Drosophila melanogaster: one gene and its partner. The protein of the gene in region 1 purifies or fractionates together with the protein of each later gene. This does not show direct contact. Each region holds a gene or a part of one and is shown in the gene's direction. Other genes may lie near its edges. The genes, in order: cmb and Rsph3.

What was found.
Region 2: the proteins of cmb (region 1) and Rsph3 purify together in Drosophila melanogaster (affinity purification with western blotting, with the first as the bait; one study listed by BioGRID). This does not show direct contact.

Annotation. Positions count from the first base shown.
Region 1 is NT_037436.4:13,436,948-13,452,949, forward strand, and holds cmb (combover), read left to right. Parts: upstream 1-5,646; 5' UTR 5,647-5,771; coding exon 5,772-6,041; intron 6,042-6,171; exon of another isoform or gene 6,172-6,352; coding exon 6,353-6,509; intron 6,510-6,741; coding exon 6,742-7,139; intron 7,140-7,265; coding exon 7,266-7,358; intron 7,359-7,420; coding exon 7,421-8,951; intron 8,952-9,061; coding exon of another isoform or gene 9,062-9,064; coding exon 9,065-9,333; intron 9,334-9,394; coding exon 9,395-9,936; coding exon of another isoform or gene 9,937-9,940; exon of another isoform or gene 9,941-10,014; intron 10,015-10,326; coding exon 10,327-11,437; intron 11,438-11,495; coding exon 11,496-12,098; 3' UTR 12,099-12,298; downstream 12,299-16,002. Other genes in the region: CG10154 (uncharacterized protein), read right to left, coding at 1-84, 149-149; CG10725 (uncharacterized protein), read left to right, coding at 1,039-1,039, 1,098-1,244, 1,303-1,739, 1,804-2,028; CG10140 (uncharacterized protein), read right to left, coding at 2,410-2,634, 2,697-3,133, 3,203-3,424, 3,479-3,488; CG14109 (uncharacterized protein), read left to right, coding at 4,279-4,332, 4,680-5,357; JMJD7 (jumonji domain containing 7), read right to left, coding at 12,362-13,312.
Region 2 is NT_037436.4:6,756,129-6,771,323, reverse strand, and holds Rsph3 (radial spoke head protein 3), read left to right. Parts: upstream 1-10,209; 5' UTR 10,210-10,433; coding exon 10,434-11,383; intron 11,384-13,213; coding exon 13,214-13,304; intron 13,305-13,389; coding exon 13,390-13,805; intron 13,806-13,869; coding exon 13,870-14,392; 3' UTR 14,393-14,695; downstream 14,696-15,195. Other genes in the region: Ist1, read left to right, coding at 14,920-15,101, 15,166-15,195.

The DNA of each region.
Region 1 (16,002 bases):
CTACTACAAGATCTTCATCGGCCCGGTTCCGATGAACCATCAAAATGATGAATAGTAGTAGGAGCCCATTTAATAGCCACTTCACTTGGGAAATTACGATTTATTAGGTAAATGAACTATAGGGAATCCCATCGCATGAGCAACTTACTCCTGGATAGTTTGAACTGTGTGCCACAACTGTTTGCTATCAGGCCAGGAAATATTCATTTTATATCGACTCTCTTTCATCGCCTAATGAGTTTTTGCCAATTTACACTTATCAACCAGGTTATTTCGGCACACGACTCCTCTAGAGGAAAACTACGCCATTATTTCTGCAAACATTTCGACTTTCAATTTGTCACCACCAAACTTGGCGATAATAGTCATAGTCGAAATGTTTTAAATAGACTGGTTCCCAGAACCCGTGGATATCGATGAAAAGTGTTTTAATTTCCTTGCACGTGTGGTTTTTTTTTTTATCACTTTAGTGCACGAGTGGTTTAAACATTCAAAGTATTACTGCGCTAGCGATTAAGATATGAAAAGAAAAATAAATAAAATAAAAAATAATTTTATAGAATAATACATTCTATTTGGATTAACTAGGAGCATTTCCTTCCTGTACAACAAATATACATACATATATCTTGAAGAAAATCTTAAACCTAAACTACAACTTAATAATTTCTAGATCTTCAAAGTAATGGGGCTTCCTATCCAAATATTCCAAACACTTGTAACAATTACATCGGATCTTGAGCGATCCGTGGTTCGATGATCAACTGTGACTCATCAATACACGTGTTTCCTAATGGCTGACAGAGGTGTATGTTCCTGAATATTGGCTCTTGTTCACCGAACTTATCTCCGCCAGACGAATTTGAATGAGGAAGAACAATCCAATTACCACATGGAAACATGCATCCACATCCGATAAGATTGGAAATTTGCACGGAATCAAAACAAATCGCAGATTGAATGGCAAGTGAGTTTGCCTATAAATGGAGGGGTTTTTCGAGGTAAGACGATAGTAACCGCAGGAAACCAACCTTGAATAGTGAGTATGAATTGCAGCTATGGAACCGAAATGATCTAACTTGGTTTATTTTCCAAAGTGATAAGTCGCCTGACCCTTTTGGCACTGGTTGCCCTGCTTGGAAGCTGTAGCGCTGCTGATGGCGATGTCAATGTCTGCTCCAATGTGGTCAACAATCTCTTTGTTCCCCAGGTGGGCAACTGTAGCAAGTACTTCCTGTGCATGAGTAAGTCACCAGCACCTGTGGATATCTAGTTCACCGCATTATCATGTTTCTATCCCAGATGAGATAGCTGTACCCCGTGAATGCCCCACGGACTACTACTTCGATGCGAGGGATCAGGAGTGTGTTCCCCTGATGGAGGTCGAGTGTATTGGATCCTGTAAGAACCGTGGTTTGTCATCGTTCTGTTACGATCGCACGTGCACCAAGTACGTTCTCTGCTTCGACGGCACTCCGGTGATCCGTCAGTGCTCCGATGGACTGCAGTACAACGCCCTGACCGATCGCTGTGACTATCCGCAGTATGTCGACTGCGTGGACAATCTGTGCAGCCGGAATAATAATCCGGATGACATCGTTTTCATACCCAGCAAGGCTCGCTGTGACAAGTACTACATTTGCATGGATGGTCTTCCTCAAGTCCAGAACTGCACAAGTGGCCTGCAGTACAATCCAAGCACTCAGAGCTGCGATTTCCCCTCGAAAGTCAACTGCACGGTGCGTGTTTTTTTTTATCTGAAGTTTTCTGGGAGCCACATAAAAACCTATTCATTTCATTCAGGTGGAGAGCCTTCAACGGAATATCCTGCCCTTTGCCCGAGCTCCGCCACGTCTCGCCGACATTGAGTGTCCATCGGAGGGCGCCCACTTTATTGCCCACCAGAAGCGTCAGGATGCGTACTACTACTGCCTGAATGGACGTGGAGTCACCTTGGACTGCACACCCGGCCTGGTGTTCGATGCCAAGCGCGAGGAGTGCCGTGAACCACACCTCGTGGGCTTCTAGTTACTCGAAATAAAGATCCAATACGATTTCAAACAAACGAATGCCTTTATAATACTCGTACTATGAAAAGAAAAGCTTGACAGATTATGTTAATGGGTCTTAAATAAGGCATCCACTTATTTTTTACAATCATCTTAAACCTACCAATTGATTGATTGAACTTGTTGCAAGGGAAATTTACGTTAAAAAGCTATTTGAATACATATTCAAATAACCACTTTATTTTAAAATCATACTATTCGGACATAAAACTTTAGTTGAAGTGGACTAAGTAATAAATAAATATTAAATAAATTTTCAACGAATTAGCTTAATCATTTAAAAATCGAAACATCTTTAGTACTTTTGTCACAAAAACAATTTTTATTCAGATCAACCATGTTACATGCCCACATTCTGGGGTTCACGACACTCCTGAACCGTGGGGTCGTACCAAAGACCCGCCGAACAATCCAGAACCAGACCATGTCCATCCACGCAATAGTAATAGGCATCTCGTCGAGACTCATGGACATAGAAATGGACCCCGGATGGGGGGCAGATTCCTACAGTAGTAACGGGTGAAAGTCGTGAAAGTTGCTGCACTTTTCTTTCCACTGCTGGGATCTAAAAAATAAAAGGGTTATGCAACTATTTCCCTTAGGAGTGTACTGTTGTTCTTAACCCACCTGACAGTCCGACTTAGATGGAATATCGCAGCAATCGCATTTGGTACTAAAGTGGAGGCCAGCAGTGCAGGTTTGCTCCCTGGGAATTCCGTTGCCGCAGATGAAGTACTTCTGGCAGGAAACCTTGCTGGGAACATAGCGCAAATGATACGCATTGGAGTAGATGGAGCACTCGGACTCCACGCAATCGACATTTTGGGGGAAATCACAGCGATCTGTGGCAGAGTTGTATTGAAGGCCATCCTGGCATTGCCGTAGAACGGGTTTTCCGTAGTAGCACAGCACGTACCTCGTACAGGTTCTCTGGTAACTGAAGGTGCTGAAATTGAAAGCCTCGCAGGTGGGCAGACAATCAGCGTCACCAGGATGTACACAGCTTTGGGTATTTGCATTGAACTCATAAGGCCATTCGCATTGCAGTTCTATGGCTTGTCCAGCTAAATATTATAAATAAACATATTATGATAAAGATTCCAAAATATAAAGATCTTAAGCTCCAAACTCACAGCGACAAAGGTAGTACCTATTACAGTCCCCCACAAATGGTAGAAACACATTATCTGCCACATTTCCGCAGATACTCAAGTTGCCCGTAATTAGACCATATTCCAGACCGGAAGTAGTTGAATCCGTTTCTAGGGTGCTATCTGTTGTTCCAGAAACGTCCAAGTCTTTGGGTCTTGCTCCAAAAACACCGCAAAATATGCAGATAAAGTACCATATTACTTCTGCAAAACAGAAAAATTATAATAGTTTTGTATTCCAACTTCTGAACCGCACACCTCCACTCATTGTCAGATTTTTATTCAACTGAATCTCTTCCCTTGTGAAAATGTACCTTTATAAGGTTCAAGCCTCAGATTATCTTATCACTATATCGATGTAAACATTGCAAACAACTGGCAAATGAATTGGTGGGAAAGGCGATGACTCTTGGAAGTCTAAATTTGGATCACCATATTCACAGCAGGTTCACCTAAATCATCATGCAATTGATGTACATTTACTTTAACACAGGGGTTTATATTTATAACTATATTTTTATGAATTAATTTAAATTTTTTTTTGAAAATGCTTCTGTTACAATTACAACGAAAAAATGTTTTAAGCATGTTTTCAATTTAATTGTTACCTTCCTTTTCTAAACATAAAAAAAGTTTCCTTTGTAGACTTTCATATTAATGTGGAAAAGCTTGTCGGCTGTTTCTAAAAACTCTACACGAACACGAAAACGATTCAAAATATTTTCGTTTTCGGCACATCGTTTCAGTTGAAATTTGGGCATCTCTTTGTGCGCACAGCTCATCGCTCGGAGGATTCGAATATACGATTAAAAGGTAGCATTTTCAAGTATAATATATGTGGTGTATTGTGGTGTACATTTTCATAAGTGCACTTGTTAGTTTTGTCTTCAAAAATGCCAAGATGACTGACACTATTCTAACTGAAAAATAATTTAACAAAGAGCCATTTATTTATAGACAGTGCCTTGCGATGGGCCTTTGTTTGTATTGAGAAAATAATCAACGTGCACGATATACATAACACCAAGTATTCCCTCTTCTCCTCAGGAACCCAGAAAATGGTCAACGAACTGAATAGGCCTCAAAATGGGGACAATGCCGCCTTGAGCGAGGTAAGCTGGAGTCTTCGGGAAATTGCAAAACTCTTAGTATTTAAGTGTTTTAAAACAATAAGAAAACACAGTCAGTAAAGTTAAATAAATACCGTGACACATTCTTTTTAGACAACAAAATGAATGAGTCACACCAATAAGCCTACAGTCTCTAGATGTTTCAGTTGAAATGAAATTTAAGTACGAAGCTTTTTCTATACCAGTGAGCTAAAAAATAGAGTTTTTTAATAATAATATACAAAATCATTTTTCTTTTGATGCCCTAATGTAGTCTTTGAACTATGATGTTTTTAAACCAATTTTTTCATTATTGAAGCTTTCAAAACTAATTATTTGTATTTTTTAAGCGCCTAGCTGCTTCCAACAGACAGCTGCAAGAGATGCAGGAGGAGCACCGCCAGTTGCTTGAGGAGATGGAGACACTGCGCTTACGAGCCGCTGAGCTGACCCTTCTGAATGCCCAGCGCCGACAAGTGCGGCAGTCCACCGAGGAGGAGGAGGTTCAGTCCCACGTTGAATCCTCATCGGAGACAGTAACAGTTGCTTCATCCGCCAGTGCTTCTGGAGAGTTCACAAACCGGGAAGAGGCACCATCTGGTGAGGAAGAGGGCGGGGAGGACAAAGAGGAGCAGGCCAGTTATCTGCAGGAGAAGCTAAACGAGATCGCCAACCTGAAGGCGCAGTTTAAGCGCGTGCAGAACATGGTGGACACCACCAAGATGATCGAGGAGCACATGTCCTCCAGGCAAACGGTACAGGTCCAGAGCTCCACCTCCGTTCAGACCAGCAGGCAGACCACCTCGTCAGAAGTCCGAGTGGCCAGCGAGGCCGTAGAGAGTGCCCAAGAAGAGAATCCATCGACCTCGTCGAGTGCTCCCGATAACGCCGAGCTCCTGAATTCCATGCTTAACATGTTCACGGACTTCACCAGTGATCTACGCGGTCAAGCGGTGGGACTCCGGGCGGAGAGGGATCGGATTCGTGCGCTCAAGGAGGACATCATCCAGCGCAAGCAGGGAAAGTAGGCACGTCCAAACTTGAAAGGGAAAATGGCTCTAGTCATATAATGTTTATTATCCAAGGAACATATTATAAAGTAATCTCCAAATAAATAATTATCCTTAAAAGATATCAAATTACCAAGTAACGTTAGTTTATCTACACCAAAAGCATTTAAAATACTTTTTACAGATATACATTTTATTTTAAACTAAAAATAATATTTATTTTTGAATTTTAGAAAACATTCGATTTCAAAAAACGTCCGCTGCCAGTGTGACCATAACTTGGTAGGCTTGTTAACTAGCTTCCAGCCCTGGTTGGGAACAGCTGTCAGAGTGCGCAAAGCAAAAAAACAAAGTGGGAGTACAAAAAAGAGGAGTTTTTTCAATTTTGTAGCGTCGTTTTTTGTACGCAAATATATATATATATATTTTCTAATGGCGCCGCCGCCCAAGGTAGTTGTGGACCAAGCCAACGCCAGCGCCCGCAGCAATGGCAGCAGCAACAACAACTCGGTGGGCGGGGCAACCGGTGCGGTGCCTAAACAACAAACGCCTGTAAACGGAGCACCCACGTCCGGGTCGAGTGCATCTGTGACATCCAGCCGGTCGGCCCGCTCTCGCCGGCAGCAGGAGCACCTGGGCGAACCGGACATGGAACTTGTCGAGCCAGAGACGCTGCAGCGGGAGACGCTGAAAACTCTGAATGTAAGTTAGACGGACGTCTGGTTGCCATGGCAAATCTTCTCGAAGAGAAGACACCAAGACCTTTCTCTTCTTGGTTTTATAAATACACTTTACACTCATCGCGACCTGCGGAAATTCGTTAGCCGCTGGCTCAGTAGCGAATGCGAACTCAACCACTGCGGACAACGAATTTCGATCGGCCAGAGCAGCGCCCTTATACATATATATATATATATCTGAAATAGATATATATATATAGACCTAAAATCAGCAAAATTACCGCAATCCTCGTGCTGGTTTTCCTGCTAATCTTCATTTACTGTTGCTTAAAGGATCTCCTCCAGCGAGCACGCATCACCAACGCCAAGAATCGATCGCCGGCGGAGCAGCATCTGTCTAGCAAGGATCACAGGTCGCCTGCACAACAGCAACAGCAGCGCGAGGCACTGCGTCAGTTGGCCGCCGAACACGGCAACTACGATACAGCAGGTAATGGGTCCTGAAACCGTTGAGGAATATACACATTTAATTGAGCAATTTCCAATATCCGCACCTGGCAAAGTGATCGGCCTGGCCCACACAGAGATCGGTGCGCCAGTTCATGTTCTATAAATAAGATGCGCACGAAAATAAACGCCCACTGAGATGATGTAGTTCGCAGCGCAGTATTTAGCAATGGACCTAAACATCCATACTGATCTTTGGCTATTTTCCATTACAGAGCAACTGCAGGAACAGCAGCAGCGCTATCGATTCCCCGTCCGTCCTGTCCAGAGGGTTCAGCACCAGCCATCCTCGTCAGCTAATAGCACAGGCGCCCCCTCATCTTCGACGGCTTTGCTGCGTTTGCGTCAATCGACGCCTCCGAATGCCACAGTAGGTGTGGTCATACCGAACGCAACTACCAGCAACGGAAACGGCAATTTGAGTGGCAACGAGGAGCAGGCACCGCCACTGACCCCCGCTGGACTGCAACAACTCGTTCACCGACTTCTTGGTGTACACCATTTTGCTCCCAGAACCGAAGGTTTTCGCTCGCAGGTTGACGTGTTACGCGCCCTGCTAGGATTAGACGAGAACCTGAATAGCAGATATCAACCGAGTAGGAAAGTTGTAGAGGTGAGTTTGAAAGCTTGTGTCAGGAACTTCAAGTGAGCCGTACATTTATAACATTTATAAGATTGATAATAACATTTTTTATATCGTAATAATAAATGAAACTAAATCCTTTAATTCTTGCCCCAGACGAACAACATGGTGCACGAAATCAACCCAAATTCGGATCAGGGTGAAGGCGTAGTCAATTCGACCAGCTTGGAGGATGTTGCATTAAGCGAGGTTAGTTGGTTAATAAAACCAAAAGTCTGCCTTCTAGTACTCAAACCATTTGTACCTTTCAGATGAGCGACAACCGCGCCCAATCCATTCAGTCCCTACACAGCGTCTTGGAAACGCCCACGCCCGATACCACGCCCAGCTTCGATGAGTTGCAGCAGCGCTTGGAAGCCTCCAATAGGAACATGCAGCACCTGCACGACGAACAGGCGAAGCTGTTACAAATCCAAAATTTGGCCAAGACTCACCTTAACGAGATGGAGCGGCTGCGCCAGCAAGCCGATAGCTTACCCCACAATGTCAATGGGGGAGAGGCCCCCAAATACGAGTCCGTGCAGCAGGTACAGGACGACATGGCGTCGCTGGTGGGGCGCATGAAGAATCTCACCGCCTTTATACACAACCAGAACGAACTGAGCACGGTGCTTGGCGATGATGGGCCCGAGATCCTGGCCGAGCAGGAAGCCCTGCAGGAGAAACTGGAATCACTGCGCACCCAACGTGAGGATATGCGCAATCTGGTGGACGAACTAAACAGCATCAACCGTGCGGCCAGGGAGACTGCTAGAGTCATCAAAGAGAAAGAGGAGACTCCCACGCCTCCTCCCAAGCCAGAGGAGGCTGCCCCAGCGGCTCCCAAGGAGCGTGTTGTTCCTGTGGAGTATCAGAGAAACGTACCCATCATACGCCAGGAGGCGGCCAACGCTGCTCAACGGGCACTTCACGCACAGGCAATGATCAACCAGAAGACGGCAGATATAGAAGCACTCAAGGCTCAGATGGCGAGACTAAAGGGAATGCTGTACACTGTTAGCCAGATTGAAGAAAGTACTCCCAGCATGGGCTCCACCTTAGAGCGGCGTAGTGAGGAAAGAACTAGCGTGGAGCGCGAATTGCCGGCCGAGATTGCCCAGCGCGTATTCGCTCTGAACGATGTTACGAGCGAACTGAGAGCGGAAGCAGCAAGCTTGCAAAAGGAGCGTGACCGTATCCTAGCCCTGAAGGCAGAGATTGAGCGACGCAAACAACAGGCGGCCGCCGCTGTTCAAATGGGCGATGATGCACTTAAAAGAAGCAGTCTTACCCCAACACCCACCCCCATGAGACAGCGGATGACCGAGGAAGAGGATCCATCCGAAGTGGATAATTCTCTTCAGGCTACGCCCACCAAGGAACAACTGCGCGATGAACTGCGCTCGCAGTGCGAGCGCCTGCGAACGGAATACGAGCAGAAGCAGCGGGAACTGGAGCAGCGTTACGTAGCCAGTAACAACACCACATCGGAGGCGGATGACGAGGCAAACGACGACACTGACAGCGATAAGTACTTCGCCAACGTACGTACCGCTTCCTCAGCGACCCTAAAGAGGGCTCCATCCGCCAACACAGTGGTGGAGCAACGACGAGGTCAGCAACCTAACGTTCCCCCACAGCAGGCACCACCACCACCGCCGCCTGCTCCTCCGTCGACGCTAAACGAAGATGACCTGAATGTGACACTTGATACGCTATCCCTGGGTAATGACAGCATACCATCCAGCAGCAATAGATCGCAGTACATGCCGCCCCCCATGCAACCAGTGCCTGGAATGTGGGGTACGTTTTTAATTCCACCAACAAAGGCGGAAATTTACCAACTTTACTTTACCAACTTGAATTCATGTATTAGTTTCCTCGTTTTACGCTTATTTTTATGCATCCGCTAGCAGCATCACACAACTCTGGAAGTTCGTGGCATGGACAGCAGCCCGTCTACGGTCAGCCGAGCTCCAGTGCCGGCACAGAGTTTAAAAAGCTGCCAGCCGCCCAACAAGGGGGCTCCTCAAATGGATCCGGATCGAATGCCTCTACCGACGCAGTTCTGCTGCAGCAGTTCATGCAGACGCAGCAAATGCTTATCAACTCTGTGTGCCAGTGCAACCAGGCACTGTGGCATCAACAGCGCGAAATCGACAACCTCAACCACCAGCTACATGCGGTAAGACAATCCATGAGATTAGAGAGCCTAATCAAAGACTAATTCAAGTGTTTTTTCACAGCTCCAGGATCGATTTAATGTTGTAGCATGCCAGGATCACAGCTTCGGCTTGCGCTCGGAATCAGTACCGCCTCCGGTGGGCCCTGGAATGGGTCAGATGCCCAACAATCTGTGCCTGGGCAGCAGTCGAGCTCAATCTGAGCAGCTATTTAACTTTGGTGCCCACCAGAGCGCCTTTAGTAACTATCAGCGCAGCTGTCATCGTAGCGGGGCAGAATCGCATCATCATCAACAGCAGCAGCATCAGGCGCAGCCGTTCCTTAACAATGCTGCTCCCCCGCCACCGCCGACGCACTTCAACAACGAGACACCCCTGTCGCCGCCTACTTACCGCTCAAGTCCAGGTCCCATCTTCATGAACCACCATAACAACACGATACATCAGAACAACTCGAATCTGCGAACCCAGAACCAGCATGCCAACAATCTGCACTCGCTGCCCGAGGGAGCAGCTGGTGGAGGAGCACCTGGTGGCGGTATTACATTGAACAATCAAGTACCACCCGGAAACAGAGCCAACAACTACTGGGACAACTTCCGCAGGTAATGCTTTATAACTTTGGTGTTGGATTTATTAATGGTTGTTTGATGGAAAAGGGTCAAAAGCAATAAAAATTAAATAAAACTATTGTGAAGAGTTAATTTTCAATTCTGTGCACCGGTAAGTGCGACCACGCGTTGCAGATAAGTGTCCCATTAACAGAGTTGAAAGTGACTAACCAAGACTAACTCCAAGTACTGACCAAGTTTTGCAAGTGCCTATTCGGCAGTAAACAAAGCTAATTTATAAAAGATGTGTATTCAATTTAAAAAGGATATATGGAATAGAAAAACTTAACTTAGTAACGCTCACTAGATTTAGCTAGTTTATCAACTGCATGATTCTTTGCTACCCGCTTGCATTAACCCATTAATATCTGTACGCTCTTCCAGCCATTCGCGCCAAAATCTCTTATCAAATAAAAGCAACGAGGAGCTGAACGTGGACCTCCAGCAGTATCGGCGACAACGGGCACGTCCCAGCTACTTTCAGCCGCCCCAGTTGCTTCCGCCTACTACGCGTGGTGGTTTGACCCACCAGCAGCAGCGTCGTCACTTTTTCGAGGCGCCACTAACCGCTTTGCATGGCAGCAGCTCCAATGGCAGCAATAATCTCAACAACAGCGGCAGTTCGGGCAGAAAAAGGGACTGGCGCGATGATGCAGGCCACATTCGCGACCACGACGATGAGGATGTGGACGAGGTGGAGGAGAACCATGATAACGTCATATTCGGCTCGGGTCGACGTCGCAATCGTCGCCGTCCTCAGCTTTCCACGCTGCGGGATGATGAGTCCGAGCAGGCTAGCTCCTCCAATCTCAACATGAACGTAAACTATGGCAACAGTCCGCTGTATCAGCGGAACAAGGTACCAGCAAAGCCCACCACTTCGACTGTGTCGCTTACTCCTCTGCAGCAGCGACATCTTCGTTTCGACTTCGAACTTCCAGCTCACTACATGGACTACATCGAGCTACCCCAGATTACTCCAGTGGACACTACTCCTACGCTCGGACAAGAAGCATCGCCCGCGGACGAATCAAATGCCATGGAGCAAACCGAGGAAACGGCCTCCGAGGAACTGAATCGAAATCTGCTGGTTAACGCTCTGAAGAACGACAAGTTCACCACAAAGTTTTATGAATCAATCAAGGAGGATGTCTACCGCCGGCTGGAGACACTCTTCGAGCAGCAGCAGCAGCAGCAGCAACAACAACAGCAACAAAATCAGCAGCTGCAGCACTCACATGAACCACACGGCTTGCGAAAGGCTCTTAACCAGGAGGAGAACGAACCTACTGGCGACGCCGAGGCCACCGAGAGTCGCAGTGAAACCCCGCTAGAGGTAATGCGTCTGCAGCTAGACAACGATCGGCCCGAGGACGAAAAAGGAACGCCAGTGAAGCAGCTAAGTTTGTCCAATCCACAGAACGGGCAGCACCTGGATGAAATGGAGGACAGTGCTTCTGCTGTTATCTCTTCTCTTAGGACCGAGAACGAAGAGGTAAGAAAGGCTTTCGTAAACTGGATCGATTAACTCATAATTGCGTCTTCCTTACCAGCAAATCCTCGAGGGAAAACTAGAACAAGCCTCTGGCTCGGGATCAGGACCAGGGACCAGCATAGAACTGGCACCGGATCACGAACTAATCGAGTACATTATCAAACGCATTCGCAATCAGACGCACAACAACACCGTCATCAATGACTCCCTACTGGCAGAGGTATCAAAGCTGACGGCCACTGCTGCCCAGAATTCGACCGCCAGCTCGCCACTAATTTCGCCCAAACGCATATATGCCAAGATCAAGAAGATGGACATACCACGACAGCGGGACGAGTTCCTGCTTTGGTACCGTTCTTATTTGGAGCAGCTGTTTGTGGTGGAACAGCCGCAGGATAGCTGCAAGACCAAGTCGAAGGTGACACCTTCTGGAGCCAGTCCGGCCAAGCTGAAGAACCAGCGTGTGCGCAAACAGTCCCAATCCCAGTCGCAGGACTCGAATAACGATGCAGACTTGGCCGAGGCGGACCAAAAGAACGTCTCCTCCGCGGGAAATGGCGAACTGGAGTGCGAGAACAACGAAAATCCCGACGAGGAGGCAGATGGACAGGCTGCAGCGGAGCCTTCCGGCGCAGAAAAACAGGACGTCAGTCTCGAATAGACTAGAGAATAACCCAACAAAGCAAACATTCCTTATTTAAGAAGTCATCATCTGTACGGATATTTCATATTTCATTTACGAATTTCGGAAAAGATAAATCTTTTATGGTCGTGTCCTTAGTCGTAGTTCGCAACTCATTTTGGGTATCAGTTTTTTATTTAACACTAAATTATGTAACAATAATATATATAAATACACTGAAAACAAGAAGGGTTTTGAATTCACCTAACAATCCCTGAGAATAAATACTTCTCCGGATTCTATTAGCCACTCCTTGCGGACGTCATCTGCTCCAGCATGCGGTAGTAGCAGTACCGGCTATCGTAGTCCAGATCGTACCAGAAGTTCACGGCGATGCACTTGTGGCTTTGGGACACATGGTGGAACCAGTAGTTGGGCAGGTATAGGATGTCTCCCGCGTGAACACGTACTTTCAGAGGCTTGGCCCGGGCGTACTCCGGATATTTGGCCAGGTCGGGTGACAAGGGATCAACGCTGACCCATTCTGTGAACTGATCGCTGCCTTCCTCATCCCTCAACGGTTCAATGTAGAACTGACCACTATCTGAGGTCTTGTAAACGCCTGTAGGGTAAATTCCTCGCGGTACGCAGCTAAGCTGGTGCGGCGGGATGAGAACGAAGTCCTTGTGACCGGATATCACGCAGTACACGTTCTCGTATGGATCCTTGTGCATGGAGGTAACGGCGCGCTCGTCGCCCAGCCAAAAGTTAACAGCATCAGGCGGTTTGTTAAAGGACTGCTGCGCAAAGTCGAGATCACTGACCCGCAGATCAGCAGCCAGTTCCGGTAGGTCCACACTGAGGTTAGAGTTCTGCTTTTGTATGTAGTGGACAGCACCAGTGGGATCATCCAGGCGGCGGACCACCTCGGACAGCTTCATTTTCGTCTCCAGCGGCAAAACGAAGTACTCCTGTCCATTTTGAGTGGCCAAGCCGTCGGCATAGCCATTCGGGGTGATTGCCACATCCACGCTCCTGTCCCCGAGAGCCTCGATCAGGTACTTTGGCGTCCATTTGCCAATCGCGGGCCAATTGAGTGCCTTGCGAATGACCACCGGCTGGTTTTTGGAGTAGAATTCCCGACAAAACTCCAAGGCGGTTGGAATCCTGTCCAGCTCCACTACGCTGCTCCCGATGCACAGCTCCTCCGCTTCCTGGAGCAGAACATCCAGAGCTCTTTCGACCTCGGACATGCCGGTAAACAACACGCACTAACGCATTTTCCGCTAGAGTGGACCTTATCAGCGCAGTGTAATGTGGGGTTCTGGTTTTCAGTGAAAGTTAAACTGAAGTGCTGCAGTGAATTTAATTAGTTTCACCAAATGACGTATTAAATAAATAATATATTATACACAAATTAAATTGAAACATTTATTATTGTAATTTTTGTTACGTTTTTAAAGTAAGTAAGCAAGGTATTCCGAAAAAATCGATAAGGGTCAAATTCGCGTCGGTGAAATGCAAAAATGCTAAGAAAAGAAAGATCTTACTATCTATCTTATAGAGGTTGTCTAGCGTGCATTTTGATTTTGATTTTGCTTTTAATAATTAATTTGAATTTGGTGGTATAGAAATATAAGTGGTATTTTCTGAAACTGCAATGGTGTTGAGAACTGTGGTATTTATTTGCAAGTCGCTTGGTATTTTCCAGCGCTTTCGGCGCGGTCCCACTGGACGCGAGTGTGTTTGCGAGTGCGGGACTTTCAAGACGCGCGCGAAGCTGCGGACAGTCGGATAGGAAGTGGAGCGGACTGGAATGCAAACAAGACGACGCGTGTCGAGTGTTTGTGATAGAAACAAATTGTTTTCGAATACGGTCGGTGCTCTATTTGTTTTGTGAAATACAATTGATTTCACCAGCGACTCAGAGGAGGATCAGGGTCGTCACCTCTTTTGCATGCCCGACATTCGCGCGGATTCGAAGTTCAGCTGGTGCGATTCGAGCAACAGGTGGCGGATGACGGATGGATGGATGGGTGGCTAAATGGATCGTGTCGATGGGCCACGGGATTTGGCGAAATTTGGTGCTGATAGACTTATAGACTGACATAGGCCCGGCATTATTATTTGTGGCCAAAAGGGGTCAGGCGGTGTGCGCGTGAGGAAATTGAATTGACTTGGTGGCCACCGGCGGCGGTCCGAAATCGAAATCTGTGTCGCAAATGTGGCACTAATAAATTATCGCACATTCGCGCGCCGCACAGCGAGTGCTTCATTAATGCAGGAATCGCAAATGACGGAGAATATCTAGTTTTGCAGCGGCACTGCGTTTGTTTCATTTTGCCAGGAGAACGTGACCAAACTTTCCAAGTGCCGCGTGAATTGGATCTACCCAGCCAATAGGTCTTAATAGAGCTAACAATTATTTTTGGTAGCCACGCTTCGCGAAGCTGGGCGCAAACAAAAAAGAACGCAAACTCCGTGGCCTATAAATATCGGTCTTCGGAATTACTAAATCCAATTGCAGTCCAATTAGCAGTCGGACGCCAATGAAGCGGCTGTGAAAGAGTAAGTACGATGCTCTTTTGAAGCAAATACTTGCAAACGTCGAAGTTTACACACCCTAACGATTAAAGAATGTTTAACTTAACTGAAACATAAAAAATTATGCTTAAATAAATAAATTGATGTCTTAATTTGCCAATCAGACTCTGTGACTCTAAACACACAGTTCCAATCAGACAAATTTTCAAATCTAATCTGCTTAAAAATAAACCAAAGTGATTGATAGAGTCTTATGTTGATAGCTATTTAACTGATATAGGCTATAATAGACACTTCCGGTGAAAGTTCCCTTCAATGCATTACAAACCATAGACTGCAGCGCATATACCCTCCAAAAAAAGAGAATCAAAATCAACAAACGCCAACAGTGCGTATGACAGTTCTTACGCAATTAAAATACCATCACTGGCTGTAAGATTTACATAAATTCGGCCTGCGAAACTGAAAACTGATAAGCGTCATAAAAAAAAAATGAGGGGCAGCAACAACAATTGGTGTGTGAACCGAAACCCGAAAGCCGAAAAGCCAGTTGGGGAAACAATGCCAAACTCGCACAGAGCAATGCATTTTTCCACAATTTATTTAAATTTCGCACAGTTGTTGCTGCTGCATGGCAAGCCCCGAAATGAGTCAGTCGCGTGGCGCTGCACTCGCAGTTGCACTCGCACTTGCATTCGCTGCATGCCAGCGCGTACTTCTTTGTGGCGACAGAGGCTGCGCCGTCATAAGCACTGTCAAATTGCGATCGCCCCCGAGTGGGTGGGGCGTCGAGGGGAGCTGCGGCGGCCGGTGGGAGGCGTCATTGGCCCACTGCTGTTGCTGCTGTTAGGCGCGCTTTTCTCTTGCACCTCGCTGCCCCGCCGTCACTGACCACACTCAACGCCAAATCGACAGTCGCCTCTGGGCACAGTCGGGGTCGAAAAAGTAGCACTCATTGCATGAAAATCATTGAATACCTTCTCAACTCATCAAAATTAAGTGTTATGCAGAAGTATGGCATTTCAATTGTTTTAAAAGGGTCGTAGATATTTTGAGAAGATATATGATATATTCACTAACTTAAAACATAGTTTTGTTAAAAAGAACTGATTTTTAAAAAGCATTTTAATCTCTAACACGTTATCAATATAAGAGATACCTTGCAAATTGTATTCTAAAAAAAATCAGCCAAATATCTTATTAGCTTACTTTCCCTAACAGTTCGTTTTGATTTCATTTTAAAAATGGGCTGAAGAATACCTGATATTCCAGGTCACCATAATTTGTTTTCCAATTGTTAGCAACTTTGTGTTACTTAAATAACTGCTCCATAAATGTTGGTCGATTATCAATAATTTAGTTGCTATTATTTTGCGCACTACGTCTTAGCTGTCTGTCT
Region 2 (15,195 bases), 6.7 Mb from region 1:
GTACATAATGGAGGATCCCTCGTTGTCTGTTCCTGCGAATTGGGCCTGCAGCGGTGCCTCCGGTGGCTCAGTGGTGCCATGGTGGTGCAGTGGTTGTGTGGAGGCCGCCCGTCATCCAATGTCAAGTTGGAGCGATGGACGGACGAGGACGAAGAGGGAGGACGAGCTGCCTTCTGGCTCTAATCAGATTCAGATGTCGTCGAAAAATGCGCGACGCGCTGGCCATTTTAGCCAGCATCGCGTAACACGGTAGTTGGGCCAACTTAGGGCTCCTCGGCTGCCCTCCGTTTCTGTTTCAGTTTCTGATTCTGATTCCAGTGGCATGCAGCTGAAGCTGAAGCTTGAGCTGAAGAAGAATGACGAAGTCATAGCCGAGATGCGTCAATTTTAGATTCAACAAAAATGATTGCAATGCATGTTGGGCCCGGATTCCGTCCTGGATGGATTCAGGATTGAGGAGACGAGATGAGACGAGACGAACAACCAGTTTGGTGGCACAGACCGACCGTCTGTCAGGGGCAACTTGTGAAATGCCAATTTATTCGTTAGCAAATATTGCATCTGATAGAACGGACCCCGAATGAAGGCTGGCTGGCTTTGGCATTGGCTCTGGTTGTGGTTCTGGGTCTGGGTCTTACTGGGTCTTTTCGGGCCTGAACCCGAACTCCAGGCCTCTGATTTCGATTTCGAGTGGCAGTGCAACATATGCAGACATGACTGCCAGGATCTCGGGACTCTCGGGTCTTCTTGGCTACTGAATCATGTGTAAAAATCTTAAGTGCAAACAATTGTACGCGTTTATCGTGTCTCTGGGGCGACGACCACCATTGAAGCTCCATCGGAAAACACAGGAGTCGAACAGAAAGGGCAGTGGAGTTGGTCTTTTTGGGCGGACAGCGGAAGAGCCCAGGAAGAGATTCCGTTTAATTAAGCTTGCTGATTCTTTAGGCGGTTTTTGTTCTCTCGTCGTTTTTTATTTTATTTTATTTTATTTTTTTGAGTAAAAATTGGTTTAAGCACTTTTTGGAAAGCCCTTAAGGTGGTACATCGATCCGATCGATCGGCTCAGTTTTGCCAAAAATATCCATCAAATTGATCAATGCTCATAAATCAAATGCGGATGCCATGGCGAGTATTATAAAAGTTTGACTCGCTTTTACTGGAAATTGCCCGCAAGAGGGCCTGGCTGTCTGAAATTAGTTTTGCCCTTGCCTTTTTTCGTTTGCCTGATGCGTCCGTTATGGCGACGCACGCTGACCCAATAATTACGACCCCCTCCTCAATCCACACCTAACCAGCCATCCAGCCAGCATTCGGTCCATTTCGGCATCCATCCATCCATCCATCCTCCCGAGAAATTGAGAGTGAAACTCAAGCGCAGACATTCTATGCGATACATTTATGTTGGTATTTTCGGAAAGCCCGCGGCATGTTGAACATTTTTGCTTATCAGTAAGATACAGCCTTAGGTTTTTCATGTTACCGGATACTCTGCAAACAGCTTTGGGGGATTTTTATTTTATCGAAATATAAAAATGTATTAATTCTTTCTGTTCTTCATACAATGAAAAATATATAACTTTATTATAATATATTTTATGATCATTAGAACTAAATTCATATTTAGTGGCAAATAATTGCAATCATTAATCGAATAAATTCCAGCTTGTGTACAAGCTTTTCTCTTTCTAAGAGTATCAAACCTTTTACTTTTAAATCTGTACATCCCATCTAAGACTTCGCTCTTAACTAATGTTCCAAATGACTGACTAAAATATAATTTTGTGATTGCTGGCTATATAGCACGCGTCACACACGCAGCTAAAATTATAAAGCCGCTTAAAGTGGTTGCGTTATATAGGAAGATTTTGGGAGAAGTTTGGACCGCGGGCGAATGTCACACCACGCGATAAGCAGGGGGTTTTGGATAGACGTCTAGACGTCTTCTAGAGGCTGAGATTAGAGATTGGTATTAGGAATTTGGTGTTTTTGGCTTTTTGGATTTTTCGATTTCTGATTTCGGTTTCAACCTGACCGGGCTAATCAATTTTAAATGTGTTTTTGCGTGTCAATCGCTTGTTTGCGTGTGCGACTTTTATTGATATGCTTTTTGGTCTTTTGATTGTTGCCAAGGCATTTTGGTTAATAATTATTACCTGACTCGACTTGGCTTGCCTTGAAGTCAGTCCTCCATCTCCTCGCTGATAGTTTCTCGGTTTCTCGATTGTTTTTCTGAGTGAAATTCATTTGATTTATTGCACAAATTATGGAGACAGCGAGCTAGCTAGCTGGCCAGGTCTATTGGCCATTATGCAAGACAACAACCTGAAGCGGTGGCAAGCGACAACTATAACTATGTATAACCACGATGAGCTGGGCAGTTGCCTTTACACTTGTCTCTGTCTCTTTGGCGCATTTTTACAAATTTGGCACGGCTGCCCATAAAAATTGGTTCGAATAAAAAAGTGTGAAACTGCAAATGGCGTCGCCTTGGTTAGACGAGTTCTTGACTCGATTTGGCATACCAACGATTAGCATAGTTTTCTGTTCAGTCAGATAGCTATATGTATATACTCTATACAGCTGCAACATTGTATCTAACGATAGATATATCAACTGCAATTCGGGGCGGCCAAGGGGGCGTGGCCCAGCCGCACGCGTTGCAACGGAAGTCCAGCTCATTTGGCCAGCGAAAGAAATCGAAAAACGCGGCGCGAGCGGAAGGGATTTCTTTTTTAAACGCATCCTGGACACACGTTCGAGGACAACTTCATTGATATATGGTTTGTTTTTCCTCCTTTTTTTTAGACCCATCCAAACTTCCTGTGTGCAGCCTTTTGTTTGCCAGCAAACGGCCAACGAAAAAGTGTAATAAATATTCTCGAATTTTATTCCGGCAAATGGTGGGGGGGGGTTTCGTTTTATGAACTTGTCTAACCATTTTCGAGCACGCCCAGCTACCACCAGCCATTAAAAATATATAAGAAGTATTTTCAATAATTAAAAACGAGTTGCTTTTTATCGATTCATAACCCCCCCCCCCTAAAACAAATAATAAATAAGACCAATAAAACCCTACAAGGAACTACGTAAAGCTGTTCAATATTATGAATCAGGTCTGATTCGTTGAGAGCCCCACGCAGCGCCACCCATGAAAAACAATGAAAAAAAGTCTGTAAAATTCCATTGATTGGTTAATTTCTTTCATAGTTTTCTCGATTTTTATGAGCCCACAAAATGTCTTTTGTGGAATATGCTCCTTCAATGGCGAGGCGAATATGTTGACAATAAACAATGGATAGCCAGTGAAGTGGATGACTGTTGAAAGTTTGATGAAGTGAGATCGCATAGCCCGATATTGGAATAGTATTGCTCATAAGACGAGAGGGGTGAGCCATTAAATACCAATTTGTAGGCAATCGTTAAGTCATAAGAGGATAAATCAGAAGTGTGGGTTTCGAATAGCTGGCGAATAGCATGAAATTGTTCTATGAATATGGGATTTGATGATGATTGGCGTAGAAACTTCCGGCTGTTGTAAGAAATTGGGTTGTAAAAGTTGAATAACATTATTAATAAGTTACAAAACTATTTATTGTGATTAACCATATCAATCAATCTTAATTTTATATAAAACATCTCCGTTAAACCTTTAACTGTAAAAGTTATTCTTCAGGCTTAATGTGTTGAACCCTTTGGAAATTTCTTAACCCGCTACGTGACCAAATTTCCGAGTCCCGGTCACGCGCATCCTTAACACTTGTTCCCGATGAAGTCGCAACAGGAAGAGCGATTTCCACACCTTACGGATCGCTTCCAGGAAAAACGGAAGTCATCTTCCAATTGCCTTGTAGTGTGGCCACAACAGATTATGCTCAGCTAATAAAGATCTTCGGATTTTTAACACCACACGTAGTCCTTGGAAATTTTCTGACTAATTGAGTTATGAGGCAAAACAAGCCAGCACCCAAAAGATCGATTACGATCGATGCCCAAAAACAATGTTGTTTACAATTTTTCTAGGTAAAATCGGAGAGTTTTGCACGTGTGTAACAGGTAAATTCCGTTGAAATCTGTCTGGAAAGTGAAGAGAGAGAGAGAGTGAAAGTGTGCCCAGCAGGAAGATCTTTATCCTGGACATATTGTTATTATCCTTGAAACAGGAGGCTGATACAGGTGGCGCCTAACGGTTCTTCGAGTCATAACATCCCTATTTTATTTATGTGTGTGTGTGTGGGAAGGTGAAACCTTTATTGCAAGCAGAGATAAAACAAACTACCAGGTGAATAAATTTTGTATTTTAAATTCTTGATTCTCTAACGCTTCTAATCGCTAGACTCTAATCATCTGCATATTTATTGGCCAAAGTGAGAATCACAACTCTGTCAGAGCAACTTTACAGCTTGTAATTGAAAAATTGCGGCTTTTCCAACTGCATTTCATTTTCCAACTGACAGACAAACAAAAAATCTCAGCTGCAGCCAATGAAGTTTGCTATATTTTTTTTCTGACCCTCTCTGTTGAAAAGGGTAAGAAACTATTCCTCGCTCGAGAGGGCGACTCAATTATGAGGAATGGTTTTTGGTTTCGGGCTCCTAAGCCCGAGCACTGCCGCAAACATTCGCATCAATTATGCATACGCCAACGCACACAAAGGACTCGGACTCGGCGCAGCTCCCGAAATCCTTGCTGCCCCCAGGATTTGAAACTTGCCTCAGTTCAGTTCGGTTCAGTTCAGCTTACCGCATGGCAAATTCGACGAATTTCCTGCGGTTTTCAAGCATTTCACTTGCCCTGCAAACGTAGGGACAAGCCTCCTCCTCCTCCTCCTCCTCGACCGCAAACAGCATTGGTCGAATTCAATTTATTGTAAATGTGCAAAAGGATTTGTTGCGGATCGGGTTGCCCGAGAATGCGAACCCAAAATGCAGCTGTACTCGAGGCGAAAAATGGGGGAACAGTTGTCCTTCTCGTTAACATGGCACATCCGCATGTCAAAAATGTCGCACAAAAATCAATCGGACGGCCATTCTGGGGTCCACTGGGGGTCCAAAAGGGAGGGTCAAGCGTACCAGGAACCCTGGTTGGAAAAAAAAAATCCAACAAAATTTTAAACAGAAATAAAAACAAAAAGCAGGCAAAAGGCAAACCCAAGCCAACTGAAAAGCAAATTAGCAATTCCGATGCGACCATTTATATTGTTCATTCTCATTGTTGTTGACGATCGTCTGATCGCGTTTATATTTTTATTTCATTTTCTATTTCCCCCTTAAGTGTGTATCAGTGTGTAAGGAAAAAAAAAAAAGAAGCTTGCTCGGTTTTTTTTTTAGAATTATTCCGCCGTGTAGTTGGAAGCGATCGTTTGGAAGCAAACGGATTTAGCTGTTATCAAGTCGCCAGCGAAAATGCAAATCAGACGCACAAAAGTCAACCGAATGGCGAAATGTAAGGGGCGGCAATGTCTAATGTCTGACTAAAACTAACTAAAACCAACAAAAACGACATTTTCACTTACCTCGCACATTTGTCAGGCGAAGAACGACGAGGAAGTTAAAGAGCCATTTATGCTCCAAATGTCAGCAATCAATAATACTCGGAAATATTTCAGTCATGCAAGCTTGTACCCCCGAAAAAGCTACAAAAATGTTTGCGTGTTTTGCATTGCTTATATATGGGGCTTGTCATTAGGAGAAAAATGGTTATATTTATTTTAATTTGCCTGAGTTTGTTTATCGGTTAAGGTCTGGAGAGGGCCAGCATGTAGATTATCAACAGAAATATTATCTGACAATTTAAGACAGTTCTATACCCATGAATTACTTTCTATAACTTCTTCAAATATGGCATGCAATTAATCAACAATCAGTTTTCAGTTTTGTTTTAACATTACTACAAGTACTCTGTATTTGATTTATTTATAAATTTCATTACCATAATCCAGTTTAATTTCCGTATGCACGATAAATCATATTAATATGAAATAAAAATTTTAATAAAGCAGTAATCAAATTAATTTTTTAAAATTTGCATTATTTGATATATTTAAATCATTACAATTTAAAATTTTTATACTTCTACTTTAGTTTTCTTTAATTTCTTTGAAATGACTAATGTGGTGAATCTAGGCCACTCAATATTTTCCAGATTACGCTTACATTTATTTTCACAGATTTACCCATAACTACATATTTTATGATCCTGTTGGCGCCACAGTCGCACATAAATAACTCATAAAAAAGTGCCCACAACAGCAGCCCGCAGATAATTCAACAATTGTGTCTGCCGAATGTTTTTTACGATCCGCAACCGTTAGGAACCCGAAGATCACTTTCCCTTCGACAAGCGGTAATAAATTAATCAAATCCCGTGCTGGACGTAATTTTTCCAGGGAAAATTGCAGCTCACACCTACACAGTGAAATGGATAGTATCTTGAGGAATATCGAGGAGTATCCGCAGTAAATGATTTGTTTGACAAGAAGCCAACAAACTCAGTGGGATGCCTTTGCCCGGTGACTTCGCAGAATCCGTATCGTATCTGAGCAAATGATCGGGAAATTGCGGGACAAGATCTCAGTCGCCAGTTGTCGCCTGTGTGGCCATCATTAACCTTTGAACTCACTAAATGGCCAAAGGACCACAGCGAATGTCAAACGTCATGGCCACTTATCGAGTGCGGACTGTTGTTCCTGTGATCTTATTAGGCATTTTCGGGAATTTCAAGGGGTTCGCTTCGGACGCAATTATCACCCCCGCATAAAGCGAAACGTCATCGTTGACAGCCACGTCATTGTTGTCCAGTCCGAAGACCAAAGTCCTTCGAACTATTTGTTAATGAATAGACAGAACCATACAAAAGATTCTGTGTAACTCGAAACAGAAAAAGGGGGTCAATTCAAATGACAAACGTTCGATAGTCCGAGATATGATAAGCCTTGAAAACCTAATTAAATGACACGTTCCAGGGAAATTCGATTCAGGCGTGGCTACATCGAAACGTTTTAACTGATGGCAAGCGATTTAACTTAGTGATAAATAGTTTAGAAAATTCAAAGTCATTTTAATATCAAGGAATTAGTGAGATTTTTTGATGTCCCCAAGGCAATTGTGCAACCAAATAGACCAAAAATGTAATTTATCTGCAAACTTACCACTAATCGATGATAACAATTTTGAAATAAAATTTTTTTATAAACTTTTTTCTTTGTTACTGTAAACTATTTAATATTAGCCAATAAATAGTAGCATTGAAAACTGCTTGCAATTTAGGTTCGGGTTTACTGCTTGCTGACAAGTAAAACAAAGTATACATATGTATAATATACATTTTACTGTAAAAAAATATTCACATTGTAAGTGTATAATGTCATGTAGAAAAATATAGTTATTTTGCTTAGGACTTGTAAAATGTTTTAACCATTTTAGACCTTAATGAATAATTTTAAAAATTGTAAAATTTATACAAAAAACATAAATAATTATTTTTCTGCCATCCTGCTTAAATTTAACGATGCGCTTAAAGTGTCAATTAAAAATCTATCTATGAATCAAAATCCCGAACAGCAGCTGTATCTGCAGAATGCATGCAATGTAGTTGGAATAATAAATCAGTAATAATAAAATGATAATGATAAATAATAAATAAATTATATTGGTATTTGGTCAAGTCCAGCTAAAAGCTAATAAAGCTCCTTAGAAAAAGTTGCTTTGCATTAGTTTCTCCTTGCTAGGAAGATATAAAAATAGATTCCTCATACTGAATGATAGTTAGTTGTGTATAATATATGGGAATGTGTAGTGACCATTCGCTAAGCGAAAGTTAGAAGGAAAAATTGCAAATGTCTCGATAGACTTTCAGTCAAAAAACGAACAAAATCTATCGAGTGTTAATACGAATAAAGTGCATTGCCAAAGACCCATCCCCACACAGCAACAGTTTAACAATGCCGACTTTCAATTCCCATGGCAACTGAGGAAATTCCGCCGTCGTTGTTTATTTTGGATACAAATTTTTTGATAATACAATATTTTTTTAAATATGGAGATAAAAACATAGGACAAAGAACTCCAGTGAAAATGTGTCACATAAATAAATCTATTTTGTACACATAAATTTGGCAAGCGGTAGACCTTTATCCGATATATATATTTTAAGTTTTTAAAAACCTCAATAACGCAACATAGCAATAGTTAGCAATGCCGACGATCCCGAAGAGGGATTACAAACCCAATGGTGGTGGCAAAAGCTCAGGAATGGATTTCCTCAGTTCCGGCATCAAGGGAACCGAGGTCACCGAGATGCAGCTCAAGTGGCACGAGAATCCTTGTCCAGCGCCACCATGCAAACAGGCATTTTGGTGGGCCAGCCATCCCAAGCCGATCAAAATCAAAGGTTGCCCCAAGTAAGTATCAAACAGAAGCCACCCAAAGAATTTCCCATGCTTCCCTGTAATTCCCTGTAATTTAAGTCCGACAAGTAGGGTATATTGAATATTTCGTAAAATTATATTATAATATTAATCAACTTTCTTACTTTCTTTGTAATTTATATAATATATAATAATTCAATAAGTAGTTAAGAAATCATTTATACGCTACAAATATGAACCATTAGAAATTGTAAGCTCGAGTTAATTATCATGGGTATTACTCCTCTTGTAATGAGTATCCTATAGTTGCAAAACCATTGCTTTTTGTAACGCCTTGCAGGGGAATTTTCTACACCTTTATATGTCTCCCCACTGGGGTCAATGGAACCCAAGACCAAAAACGAAAGTCATAAATTGCGTAAATAAATTATTAAACGCTGGCCGTGTTCGGCTGATGGTCAATACAATGGCCCCACTAAAGGACACGCAAACTTGGTACGATTTTGAATAGAAACATTCGTGTTCTGAAGGGAAACAATAGAAGGAGTGCACAGGACAGGAAATTATGAGGAGTGTGGAAGTCGATGAGTGCTTAAAACTATTGTAGAAATTGACGCACTAGTATCATAAAAATATACAAATATATCTGACTACCGATAATGACGGGGGCTGGACTTGGGTCGGATTAAGGTCAACCAGGGAATAAGGATGATCCCCAAATATGATAAAAACCCAATAAACTATAGTGTATCTAAATCCAGTTGTAGTAAAGTGCTCATTCTTCTCTCAAGCTAAAAATCGAATAAATACTACAGTGTGGTATATCTTATATCTTATCATTTATTCGAATATATTAGTACATCAATTCTGAACTGTATATGTTCAAATTAGGATAAGAATACCGTGCTTTAGGTCAGCCAACGAATTTAATCATATAGAAGTATGATTGAGTGAAAGAAAATTACCTTTTTTAACAACAGGCTTTACCAAAAGCTTTTGGACTTCTGATACATTCTTACCAATTCCTGTTACAATAATCTTTCATCTATTCACTGACCTTTCTTCATTGCCAGTAAAAAAGAGTGACTCCTTGGAGTGCCAAGAAATCTACTTAATTATGCTTAGTTCCCTGTTGAATTCCGCTTATCAGGCAGTCCAAGCAATTGACCTTGGCCATTGACAATACCTAGGAGGTGTTCCAAGTAATAGAGAGCCACCCACCTCCTTTTTCAATGTCAGGCAGGGAAATGCGTGAAGTCATCTCCGACAATGTGAAAGGAAATGTGGACACCATCGAAACAAATTCAAGGTCCCTCCGCCGGGCGAAACCTTTAATTGGAGACCCCAACGAAACTACTTGGATGGAAAAGAAAAAGCTCTTATGCAAAGTAGAATTCCTGGGAACGTGGATTTGGCCATGCCAATGCCACCGACTGTTAACAGTTCGCATTATTATTGCAACACCTGCCCATCATGTGCCTCAAACTGCGAAGCAAGCGATACACTCAGAAAAAAATTTGAAAAATATGTGTATATAGTATAGAAACTTACATTGTGGCACGCACGCGAAGTATTGTTATTTAAACTTATGAAACAGCAACATGAATAGTTTAAATATGCAATTTTCTATATAAACCAATTGCAGCACTTTAAGGATATTTTTACTAAAAATGTCCTTTGAAGTAACAGCTCAATTCCTGGAAAGCTTTAGTCGTGGGCAGTAGGAGACTATATGTTCCACATATTTTTCCAACTGCACGACGACTGCTGACCACGGGCCGAATCCAAAGTCGAAACCGGGTCCGAGCGCGAGTTCCACGAGTCCTGCGAGTCCTTTGGTCATTTGGCGTTTGCCATTCGAGCCGTGCGGTACGTGTTCCGCGACAAAATCAAACAATCAACCAACGAACGCAACACCTGAGCGGCGCACAAAAGGGAAAAATATAGGAAAAGTATTGATTAAGTTTTTCGGTGCGGCGGGTGAGAGAACCGTGTGGTGGCTATTTATAATGAACGAGGTGACCGGCGGCCGGGAGCAGGGATAACCGAGACGGTAGCGGAGACCATGCCAGAGACGGAGCAGCAGCAGCACCCAGCACACTCACATCCTGAACTTAAGCCAGATCCACAGCCAGTGCCAGAACTGGAGCACCTCACCGACAATAGACCGAATCGCGTGCAGAACTTCTCCTTCGCCAGCAGCTATCCCTACGCACCAGGACGCGTCTCGTCCAGCTCCAATTCGAACACCAACTACAGCTCCACCAACTACAACGCCGGCGGCTTCAACGTCCAGCGCTATCAGAGTCCCTACAATTTCCAGCACGTGGTGACCAACGCATTCTCGGTGCTGCGCCATCAGCCCTCCGAGGAGCCCGAATTCGATTCCTATCCAACGCGACCCCAACAGGCCATCGTGCGTCCGATTAGACGTGAGGCGGGCATAGCTGATAACCGTGATAATCATGTAGGGAATCCTCCACAGCGATCGCACTTCTCGCGCAGCAACCAGGAGGTGCGCAGCTTCGCCGATGAGCTGAGCCAGAAGCTGCGCTTCCTGGCGCCGGAGGAGCAGAACTACGGCGGTCGCCAGAGCGCCAATTCCGGTGCCTGGATGGATCCAGCGATGTCGCAGCGACCACGATTCGAGACCACAGTGCCGCAGGGCATCTTCCTGCCGCCTCCGCATGAGGTCCAAATGATACCGGCCACCATGCTGAGGAGGCATGTCTACGCCTACTCCTCATATCCCATGATCCTCCAAGGGTATCTCACCAAGGAGACCGGCAGTGAGAGCAAGGAGCAGAAGGTGACCGCCACCCGGCTGAACGGTTTGCGTGCCACGGCGGCAGTGGCGGCGGCCACAGCTGCGGCCTCCAAATCCTCCCGTAACGATACGCAATCCCTCGCCGGTGGACTCCACATCACCAAGGCTCAGTTCCAACAACAACTGCAACAGCGTCGCTCCACCAGCAACAACAACAACAACAGCAGCAGCAACATCAGCGACAAGAGGTAATAAAAAGACCAACCCCCAAAATGGTATGGGTGCTAAACTTGGAAGTAAAAAAAAAAAAGGTGGGAAGTGGAAAAGGTCCGACAACTGACCAAGGCAAAGTGGGCCAAAATATATTACCATAAATTCAAATGAGTAATACGTACGTACCTACACTGCCATTCTGCAATGGAACCAGAACTTAGCTCCCCACTTCAGTTCCTACGGCCATTATCGATTGACACCCAAACAATTCAATTACAAATAGGTTTTGTGGTTTAAAGTGCCGAATTGAATCCTTCAAGGATTTGTTATCTAAACTGATATAGATTCAAGATGATACCTTATTGATCTGTTTTTAGACTTTACTATGACACGCAAATAGAATGGAAGGCTCTTCATCAGCCAAGTTTCTTGTGTGGCTCACCCACTTTCACAATTAACTCTTTAACAATTCAATTAGAAATGCTTTTCCAATAACATTCGGACATTGTAAATTCCCTGAACGGTTTGATTAATTTATTTAGCGCATTCTCGAATGGGAAAACTCGTTTGCCTTGCATAAAAGAACATGCGAACAAATGGACAAATGGACAAAGGGACAAAGGACCCTCGAATGTGTCGTGCCAGCGGAGAATATTCTATATTCCCAGCTCGGGGCTTAAATAATTTAAATCAAGATTTCGTAAACAACAACAATATGTACCCATTGTACCAAAGCACAAATGGAGGGATATTAAGTTCAATTACCACACCAGAGAAGAAGGACACCTATGGCACAATAATAAAAAAAAAAAAAAAAACAAAAAACAGGTCCTGCCGGTCGTTTTTACCCAAATGGGATGTTGTTCGGCCAAATGGGCTATACTTTTTGGGTTACGAAAAATGAAATATCACACTCAACGTTTAAATAAAGAACCTATTAGGGAGATAACTATTTTATAACTCAAAAAGGATTCACCAACTTAGATTTTCGTTCAGACCATATATCCCTCATAAGGACATCGCACTAAGGGTTTCCCGTTCCATTTGCTGATGTCTGTGGTGCGCAGACCCAGACCCAGAGAAATGTTGTTAGACATTCGCCAGCAACTTCAATGTGACTTCCTGTTTGTGGGCCAAAAGTAGCTGCGAATTTGCATAGGTCACGAGTTCAGGTGCCAAGTTCTTCTAGTGCAATGTCTAACTACGTTATATACTACTTCTACTCGCAGTCAGCATGTATGTATCAGCATATATGTAGAAATGTAAGAAATGTTTGTTTCCCCATTTACTTGCCGGTGCTATACATATAAATTAGCAAGTCATAAATTACTCAGCCACCGCGGACTGGACTCGTGGAACTTTAAGCAGGCTTTAAACTCTGACCCAAAAGTGTACTGAACTTTGGCGAAATTGATTCGAATCGGAGATGACCTGACAAGCAGTCTGCGAGGGCGTTGGGAAATGAACAAATTTGATGTTTATCGCCTTGATAGTGCAACAGATTTGGGTCTTGGCAAATGCAGCAAAGTGCACTGAAACTGCAGCAAATCAAAACTAAATAAATAAAATATTTAAACTTTAATAGAAAGAAGTTAACAAATCTAAAGATAACTAAAACTCATACACTTTTAACTTGCTTTTCCAGCAGCAATTACAATATTTATCCATACATAGATATCATATTTATTAGAGAACTTAACCATTTATGTAGTAATCCTTTTAAGTTGCACATTTACGAACCTTTTCAAAAAGTCTGCAGCTTTTTTGCTGCATGAGCAGTTTGTTGAACTGGGTCGAGGCTTACTAATTGGTGGCTCCCACCTGGGCAACTCCATGCCCGCTTCTCCACTTTGCTCCTCTTGCAGACCCGTCGTCCCGCCGCCGGAACCCTACAAGAACGTCATGTACGACCGTCGCGTCATAAAGGGCAGCAACTTCGGCAACGCCTCTCTGGTGGTAAGTCCCATCAGTTCAGCTCAGCTTAGCTCAGTGCTCTGGCAGCCCTGACCTACGACTAATCCACTTTTTGCTTCCTCTCCAGACGGATGTGGATCCCTTCGACAAGGCCGCCGAATTGAGGCGTCGCAATATGTTGCGCAAACGGACGATGCAGTGCCGCAATCAGAGAAATGTCCTGGGCACACCGCCGCCGGTCAAGGGGCGGAAGCACGAGACCATACAGACGGAGAAGTATCTGGAGAAGTTGGTGCAGCGTCCGCCGGAGTTCACCATCGACACGCAGACGGACCTGTTCCTCGAGAAGCCGCCGACGCCTCCGTTCATACCGGCCAAGGTGGGCGTGGATGTGGCCACCGAGATCGGTGAGGGCGAACTCTTCCACTTCGATGCCGAGGCGCAGCCAATCATCGATGTCCTGGTGGACGCCTGCATTGAACAAAGCATGCTGGAGGTGGCTCACGAGATGGAACTGTCCAGTCTGCGACGCAAACAGGAAGAGTACGTATAAAAAGTGTAAAGTAAATCTTCAGATTACTATAATGGCGTTTTGTGTTACCCACAGATTCCTGGCCCAGAGGGAGGCGGAACTGGCCGAGCTGCGCCGTTTGGAGGCTGAGGAGCTGCGCTTGCAGGCGGAGAAGGAGCGTCGCCTGCGACAAGATGCGATTGCCAAGGAGCTGGACGCTGAGATGCAGAAGAGCGTGACGGCGGCCAAGTTGCTCCAGGGACACATTGCCAGTCTGGTGCCGGAGGTGCTGGAGAACATTGAGCCGGCCAGCGATGCCGTTAAGAAGGAGCAGCTTATGAAGAGCGTCTGCCCGTGGTTGTCCGCCGAGGTGGCCGAGGAAGTGGGCCATATAGTGGACTCGCGCGAGATTCTCACCGCCATCATTCAGGAGATTATCAAGCAGCGTGCCGAGATCTATGCCGGCTACAAGGAACCTGAATCGGAACCATCCGGACCGGATGCGGGCGTTTGTGAGGAGGAGGGCTGTGCCATCGATGAGATGGAGGCGTGTCCCTGCGAATCGGAAACGGAAATGGAGGAGTGCCCCGAACCGCCACCACCGGCTCCTCATCTCTAAGTGATTGCGTTCGAGTTTTAGTTCATATATATATTTCGAGTGGGATACTGATTCCGCACACATGTAACACTAACACACTCCTGCTATTAAATCAAGGTTGGCTGCAACTTTGTGGTTGTGTCTGGTGAAGAACTCAATTCGCCGCAGGATTCGAATCGAGCCTGGGCGCCAAACACAATTGCATAGCGGCGGCGGCGAAATGGCATCGAAAAAATGGAATGGCATATTGTAAACTGGATACTTGTTAAAGGTTTTTGTGTTACCGAAAATTCAACCAATAAAGCTCAACAAAATAAGCCGAACAAAACATTTTAGAAAATATTTTAAACGGTTGTTAAATTAAATTAAAATATTAATAGAGCCAAGCAATTTGAAATTTCAATGTTACCTTGGTATTTAAGGGGTCTGCATGTACGGTCACACTGCACGTGACGTCACATTGTTTTTTCCATACCGAATTAATGAATCACCACTGACCGAATTTCCTTGTTTTCACAACTAATTCGGAAGTCCAGGGTGTAGTGAAGATGTTTTCCAGCGGCCCCAATTACAACAAACTGAAGACCAATCTTCGATTGGCTCTCAATCGCCTGAAATTGCTGGAGAAGAAGAAGGCGGAGCTGACGCAAAAGTCCAGGAAGGAAATAGCCGACTATTTGGCCACGGGCAAAACGGAAAGGGCGAGGATTCGCGTGGAGCACATCATTAGGTGGGTGCAGGAATATATGAGCCATTCTTATACCTCCATATATCGTATATATCGTACATCATAGGGAGGACTACTTGGTGGAGGCAATGGAAAT